2 linked regions of the Saccharomyces cerevisiae S288C genome follow. The main gene of each other region encodes a partner of the protein of the gene in region 2 in a complex. Each region holds a gene or a part of one and is shown on either strand. Other genes may lie near its edges. A codon is read from its position in the direction of its gene.

The links.
Region 1: the proteins of BRX1 (region 2) and EBP2 are in contact, whole or in part, in a crystal structure (PDB 5Z1G), measured with the Saccharomyces cerevisiae proteins. Residues at the interface, in NP_014565.2 of Saccharomyces cerevisiae: Phe27 (codon at 1,853), Met28 (codon at 1,856), Asn29 (codon at 1,859), Gln31 (codon at 1,865), Leu55 (codon at 1,937), Lys103 (codon at 2,081), Asn106 (codon at 2,090), Gly107 (codon at 2,093), Pro108 (codon at 2,096), Met120 (codon at 2,132), Asp121 (codon at 2,135), Glu122 (codon at 2,138), Leu123 (codon at 2,141), Phe125 (codon at 2,147), Thr126 (codon at 2,150), Gly127 (codon at 2,153), Asn128 (codon at 2,156), Cys129 (codon at 2,159), Leu130 (codon at 2,162), Lys131 (codon at 2,165), Arg134 (codon at 2,174), Pro135 (codon at 2,177), Val136 (codon at 2,180), Leu137 (codon at 2,183), Ser138 (codon at 2,186), Phe139 (codon at 2,189), Asp140 (codon at 2,192), Gln141 (codon at 2,195), Arg142 (codon at 2,198), Glu144 (codon at 2,204); in NP_012749.1 of Saccharomyces cerevisiae: Val195 (codon at 1,256), Asn196 (codon at 1,253), Asn197 (codon at 1,250), Thr198 (codon at 1,247), Ala200 (codon at 1,241), Met201 (codon at 1,238), Lys202 (codon at 1,235), Ala204 (codon at 1,229), Leu205 (codon at 1,226), Arg207 (codon at 1,220), Val208 (codon at 1,217), Gln209 (codon at 1,214), Leu210 (codon at 1,211), Pro211 (codon at 1,208), Trp212 (codon at 1,205), His215 (codon at 1,196), Gln218 (codon at 1,187), Glu219 (codon at 1,184), His220 (codon at 1,181), Gln221 (codon at 1,178), Ser222 (codon at 1,175), Val223 (codon at 1,172), Thr224 (codon at 1,169), Ser225 (codon at 1,166), Glu226 (codon at 1,163), Thr227 (codon at 1,160), Asn228 (codon at 1,157), Thr229 (codon at 1,154), Asp230 (codon at 1,151), Ile233 (codon at 1,142).

Annotation. Positions count from the first base shown.
Region 1 is NC_001143.9:123,966-127,596, reverse strand, and holds EBP2 (Ebp2p), read right to left. Parts: upstream 1,839-3,631; coding exon 555-1,838; downstream 1-554. Other genes in the region: protein kinase NNK1, read right to left, coding at 1-122; U5 snRNP GTPase SNU114, read right to left, coding at 2,054-3,631. UniProt on the Saccharomyces cerevisiae protein: Required for the processing of the 27S pre-rRNA. Probably involved in the step of the processing of the 27 SA precursor into the 27 SB intermediate.
Region 2 is NC_001147.6:185,095-188,497, reverse strand, and holds BRX1 (ribosome biogenesis protein BRX1), read left to right. Parts: upstream 1-1,774; coding exon 1,775-2,650; downstream 2,651-3,403. Other genes in the region: MDM20 (Mdm20p), read right to left, coding at 1-1,474; ATP19 (F1F0 ATP synthase subunit k), read right to left, coding at 2,854-3,060; AVO1 (Avo1p), read right to left, coding at 3,286-3,403. UniProt on the Saccharomyces cerevisiae protein: Required for biogenesis of the 60S ribosomal subunit.

The sequences.
Region 1 (3,631 bases), on a different chromosome or scaffold from region 2:
TAGCTGCGATTCGATGCTGGAGAGTCTGATATCGGCGACGCTGTACCAGAGGAATGTTGTGATGAACGTGATGATGACATCGGACTCCCATTTTGTCGAAGCTGTCGCTGCGACGTAAACATTCGTTCTTTTGGACCGTTTTGCTGAAAAGATTTCTTCGTTAGAGTAATAACAGCGCTTGCTGATTGCGTATCTTCTTACTTGCGTCCCCGATGACCCAAAGGGAACATAAGACCCTCCGTCCCCCATTGACTGTTGTTATTGAATTCAATTATCTAATCTGTTTCCCCCCACTCACAGGAAGAGCGCAACGCCATACACAAAGTTCCGGGACCTTTTCATTCCGGCCATTAATATTAGCGCCGGCGCTAGGGTTTTTGGGCAAAAACATAAGGTCTTTCCCTTTATTTTCCCGTCATCTTGGCAGGGTTACAAAAGCCTTTTAGGGCTTCGTTGGATTTAATTCTATTTTATACTAGTGTACAAAGAGATGATAGATAGTTGTATATACTTTACGTTCTGGATATATACAGTGTTCTTGCCGACATAACGGCTTAGAATCTTCTGGCACGTCTACTCTTTCCTGGTCTATTGGTCTTCCCCTTCATTTTTCTGGAAGAAAAGCCGCTGACATCAGCAGAAGAGGTAGCATCATTCTTCCTCTTGAATCTCTTCATGCCTCCTTGGCCATACTTAGCGTTTTTTGCGGCTCTCTTTCCGTTAGGCCTGCCTCTATCGAACCTTTTTCCTTCAACTTCTTCCTCTACACCGACGTTGAACTCGGAGTGATCGATCTCGTTGTGCTTTCTTTTGTTCTTCAAAGATTTGATCTTTTCCAGTGTTTCTCTTTTCTCCAATTGACGTTTCTGTAAGGTAGCGTTTTGGACTTGCTTACCAAATTTCTTCAATTGCCTTTGTCTTCTAGCTTCTTCACGTGCCTTCTTGTCACTGGCTTCTTCAATCAACTTACCCTTAATCTTGTCCATATGTTCATCACTTTTCACCATTTCAGCAAAATAATCCAATGGTCTTTTGAAGGGTACTTTTAGTCGTTTCAATTCGTCACGTGCTACTAAAACAGCGTCCAGTGATTGCTTGTAAAATGCTAATTCCCTTTCAGTATCATCGTATATGTCCTTAATATGTTCATCCGTATTAGTTTCTGATGTAACGCTTTGGTGCTCTTGGAATGAATGTTTTTTCCATGGCAATTGTACCCTTTCTAAGGCATGTTTCATCGCTTTTGTGTTGTTGACGGTTAGTTTATGATGTGGAACGACATCTGCATCAGAATCAAATTCCACGTCTGACAATGGAACGTCTTGTTCTTCTTCTTGCTCTTCCTTTTCCTCGCTTTCTTCTTTAGCAACGACATCCTCATCCTCTTCAGAATCATTTTCAGACTCAGAATCATCTTCAGACTCAGAGTCACTTTTGGCCAATTTCTCAAGATCCAGTCTTCCTTCTTCTTCTTCTTCTTCTTCTTCTTCTTCCTCTCTATCGTCGCCAGATTCATCTTCATCGCCAGACATATGCTTTTGAGCTTCGGTAGCGTCCTGTTCTTGCATTTTTTTCAATTCTTTTTTCAACTTTCTTTTCTCTTTTTTAGAAAGGGCTTGGCTTTGATATTCTTCAGTATCTGCAGCAACTTCCTTCTTAACATCGGCCTTCTTTTCTTTCTTCTCAAGCTTTTTCAAATTAGAAGCTGTAACGATAGTTGGTTCTTCTTTCTTCAATTCTTGGGATTTCTTTTTCTTTAGGTCATTTTCAAGCTTTTCAGCTTTTTCAATTTCCTTTTGATGCGAAAGCAACTCCTTCAACTTGAAACCTTTAGCCATTCTCTATATACCGTTGTTCAACTAACTGTGCTTTGTTACCGTTTAACTTTTTAACAGCGTAAAATTCTATAAAGCTCATCTCATCTGTATTTAGGCAGAAATAAAAAATTTTCAGTCCCGATGAGTAGTTATATCACTAAATACGAAGTCATATGTAAATTCTGCTGAATAAAAATATTGTGGACATATTGCTTAATTCTTATGCGCCAAGATTTTCACGGTACTAAGCCATTTTCTCTTAATTGAGCGTATAATTCAGCGCTTATATACTTTTCAAGCGTAGGACCATCATTTGACATAAATCCACCTGTAGAAATACCCTTCCGCCTTCTTGTTTTCATCACGAAATCACGACTTAAACTGTTGATAGGTGCGGGTTTCAATTTTGGAATAAACGCATCTTTATCCAAAACATCACCAGGAACCTTCCTCCATATCTTGTGCCAAAAGTACAGCTGACACATACCAAGACCATTCGTAGATAATCTCAAATCTGTCTCGAATCCTGCAGATTCAATAACCGGAACTTGTCCACGAACCTCCAACAATGGTGTCCCTGCCACTTTTATTGTTTTGTATATCCTGCTTCCACGTCTCTTCTTCATAAGTTCCTCTACTATTGGCAGCAAGGGGGCGTGGACCGTGATGTCAACTTCATAGATGGGTTCCAATAAAATTGGGATTGCTGTCAGTAAGCCAACGTAACAGGCTTTTTTCATTAGCGGAATAATTTGACTTTTCATAACGTCAATGTTTACGTCGGAAGGTACTGAGATCGATAACAATTTATACTGTACACCATAAATTGGTTCTTCTGCCAAAGGCCCCTCTTTTACAGCCCAGTAAAATCCTTGTATTATTTGTTCCTTATATTTGGATAATAATTCAGGACTGATTTCATCTGGCAAAGTGTCATTAATCAACACGTTGCCATTATAAAAAGACCAAACGTTTCTTGATGCCAACGAATCCCACCCATACTCGGTTCTCAATATTTTGGATAGTTTCCTTGGGTTGTCCATTATTCCGTCAATATCCAAGCAGTTTTGACCCTTTCCCAATGTGTTCCTGCTCAAATCCTGAATCATTTTAGAGTCCATTGGTTCAGCGGCTACACTAATCGACAGACCTGGTAAATTTTCCTCACCAAGGCGAGATATCGAATTACTTACAGGTATTGAAGCGAACGATTCATTTGAGCAACTTTCAGAAAAAACAGTTAAAGGATCAGATATTTTAATTTCTATCTTTGCATAACTCGCTCTTAGATCATACAACAAACAGTCCATATACAGCTCTCCATTTCCTAGTATTACATGTTCTCCAGATTCCTCAACTTTAATAATAACGCCTGGGTAGTATTTCGAAATTTTGTTCAGGGCATCCAATAACTTGGGTAATTCCCTTGGCAGTAAAGGTTGAAGAACAATTTTGAAAACTGCCTCGGTAATATAATCTAAAGGTTTGAAAAATTTTAGCTGTTTCATGTCCTCCTTACTCTTTACAGAGTACAACGTCGCGGATTTAATATATGCACTTGAAATACCTTTTATTAATACTATCTGTCCTTTGTGTGCTTCATGAACCGGATAGACATATCTGCCACCTAATAAGCCAATTTCTTCGACCTCACATGAAGGCGTTTCGTCATCTTCATCTTCATCTTCGTTGGAGGTTTCCGTCTTTGAGATATCATGCAACTGTCTTTTTTGGCGAGATTCAGATTGTGATGTATCAAGTATACGTACTGTATCCCCTCTCTTCAAAAGTCCAGAGTATATCCGTACAAGGGA
Region 2 (3,403 bases):
TCTGTTTATTCGGGAACAAAGTAGAAAATCTCGAGAATATCATGTAATCTAGGGAATCTGTTTGAACGTTTTTAATCTTTAGGTTTATGAAATGGAAATAAGCATCGGGAACTAAACCCAGGTACATGTATAAAACAATCAGCCAGCACATAGTATCGAAGTTATGAGGGTCCTTGGCTTGGTAATTTTCCAATATCGTTATACACAAAAGCACGTCTTTCAATTCAGGATTAGTTTTCTTGCACTTGTCCTTGACTATTTCTAATAAGAATGTAGAACAGGAGGAATAATCCGTTACCGATTTTTTTTCCAGGGTCCCCTTAAACTTGTTATAGTTATTGATTGAGTCGCTTCCAATAAGTCCCAATTCTAGAATATTACAATGATGAATCAAATCCTTATCCTCTGGATCGTACTTAGACATAATGCTCTTAAGCATATCTATGTTAATGTGGCCGCTGTAATGATTCAAATCGATTGAACAACAAGGTTTGTTATGGTACTTTGATAAATAGTACGACAAAGATGATTCCGAAACCGAATCGGTGTACATTATATCAAGTTTCAAGCGCGCCAATCGAGTATTCCTTGAGTCTCCCAAATTTTCATCAATCCATTGTTTGACTTCGTCTTTAGATTTAGAAAGTTTGTAGGCAGCATCAATCAAGTTTGTGATCAATTCATAATCATCAAGGCCCTTTTCAATAAGTTTTGAACAAACTTCAAAAAGTTTTTGTGGAGAATTCAATAACTTGGTATGCTTCAAGATAAAGTTTTTCAAATACAAGTTTACTGAAGTATCAAAATTGGCAAAGGTAATCGCAACAATCTCTTCCGAGATTTCTCTAGATTGAGGGAATAGTTCATCCAACACCAAACAATAAACTATAATCTCTTGAACATTTTGAAATGGTTTCAAGTCTAACAAAGACTGGCGCGCTAGCCTGGAGAGCAAAATTTTCTTGGGATCTGAAAGAGTGTTTTCCTGAAACCTTGATACGGCTAAAATCGAGATTGCATTCCAAAAATAATATGCTCTTTTAGGCAGGTTTCCACTGTCACTGTATTTAGCTAGCTGTAGAGATGCTTTGCTCATTTGGTTATAATTGGAATCTTCCAATGCTTTCATAAACCAGTGATAAGACAATTCGTAGCTAGGGAATTTGAAATTTCCTCTTTCATACACGTGCAATGCTTCGTCGTATTTCCCTAACTCTACGAAGAAGTTGTGCAAAAACTCCAAGGAACGCGTGTCGCCCGTAATCGTTGTCCCTTTCAGCCCATATGGTTCTTCTAGCAGTTTATTGTAATCGAACTTACCAGGTGACTGCTTGAATTTAACATAGGTTTCCAAAATCTTGAAGTACAACGCATTGGGAAATTGTTTTTGCAATTGCCCCAGTTTTGCATAGCATTGTTTGAAGTTGGACCTGCTTACTAGTCCTAATATCTCCTCCTGTATCTTGTCGGACATGCTTCGATGCGATGATTGCTGTACCGAGCTCGTTATGTATCGTTGCTTCGCCAATGAATTCTGTTGCAGCTGACATTTATTATTTATTTTCCTAAAGCCCTCGGCGGTCCGTGGACAGTGATTTTCGTTAAAGGTGACTGAAAAATTTTAGATGCTCATCGCGATGGTTCTCAAAGAATCTATCACCTAAAAAGATACAGAAATTGCTATAATATTTACGAGTTAGAAGGTTACTTAGCCTTATTTTGCTTCACGTCTTTCTTTATACATTCGTCAGGTGTTGAAAGAGTTCAACCAAAGATGTCTTCTATCTACAAAGCCCTCGCAGGAAAGAGCAAAGATAATAAATCTGAAAAGAAGCAAGGCAATGTCAAGCAATTTATGAACAAGCAAAGAACTCTTCTGATTTCGAGTAGAGGTGTTAACTATAGACATCGTCATTTAATTCAAGACTTAAGCGGATTATTGCCTCATTCCAGAAAGGAGCCAAAATTGGATACTAAAAAGGATCTTCAACAGTTGAACGAAATCGCTGAGTTGTACAATTGTAATAATGTTCTATTCTTTGAGGCCAGAAAACACCAAGATTTGTATCTATGGTTATCCAAGCCGCCAAATGGGCCAACTATAAAATTTTACATTCAAAACTTGCATACTATGGATGAGTTGAATTTTACAGGTAACTGTTTAAAGGGTTCTCGTCCGGTATTGTCGTTTGATCAACGTTTCGAATCCTCCCCACACTACCAATTAATTAAGGAGTTGCTAGTGCATAATTTTGGTGTACCACCAAATGCTAGAAAATCTAAGCCATTTATTGATCACGTCATGTCCTTCAGTATTGTAGATGATAAAATATGGGTGAGGACATATGAGATCTCACACAGTACTAAGAACAAAGAAGAATATGAAGATGGCGAAGAAGACATATCATTAGTGGAAATTGGCCCTAGGTTTGTTATGACTGTCATTTTGATCCTAGAAGGTTCATTTGGTGGTCCAAAGATCTATGAAAATAAACAATATGTTTCGCCAAACGTCGTAAGAGCTCAAATTAAACAACAAGCTGCTGAGGAGGCAAAGTCTAGAGCTGAAGCTGCTGTGGAAAGAAAAATTAAGAGAAGAGAGAATGTTCTTGCCGCCGATCCTTTATCAAACGATGCCTTGTTTAAATAATAAGCATAATACTATCAGAGAGTTTTACATAACATTGTATATTAAAAAGATATAACAAGAAAAGAGTGGATGTAGCAACTGTCTAGTTATAGACCTCTTTTTAATAATTTAATGTTTAAATCTTGAATATCGAAAGCTGTATATATAAAGAATATTTATTGTATGTACAAAAGATCTTCAACCGCGCAGCAATCAAGCTATATTTACGCATCTTGCTTTTCCGAATGTTTCTTTAAGTAGTTTTCAATGAATTTTTCCTCGTCTTTGTTGTCTGTTTTGATGTCGACTGTTTTTGGCTTTGCGCTTTTAAAAGGATTTGGAACAACCAATAAACCTAGCAGTCCTAATGTCCCAATGGCTAGTTGGTGTGGAGGGATAGCTTTCCCCATGAAATGATAAGCAGCACCCATTGTCGTAGTTATAAATTATTATTTGAAGTCACCTGGCCTTATTCAATGCTAACGAGTTATGTGCTCTATGGGGGGACTTGCTCCTAAAAAGCTCTTTTTTTTCCCTTTGCATCGAGAAGCGGACTCTGACCAATCACCATCGAGATCGCGATGAAGTATTTTCTATACCATATTTAGATATAAACCAAAATTAATGCTGGTAAGATGCAGTATAATGGGTTTTACTTATTTATGATTCATTCTATAAGCGCTTAATAAGTTTTGTAATCGCGTCACGATCTCAGTACACTCTTGACCTGAAACTGCTTCAAAGTAGTACCTTTTGATATCATCTTGCCCCTCT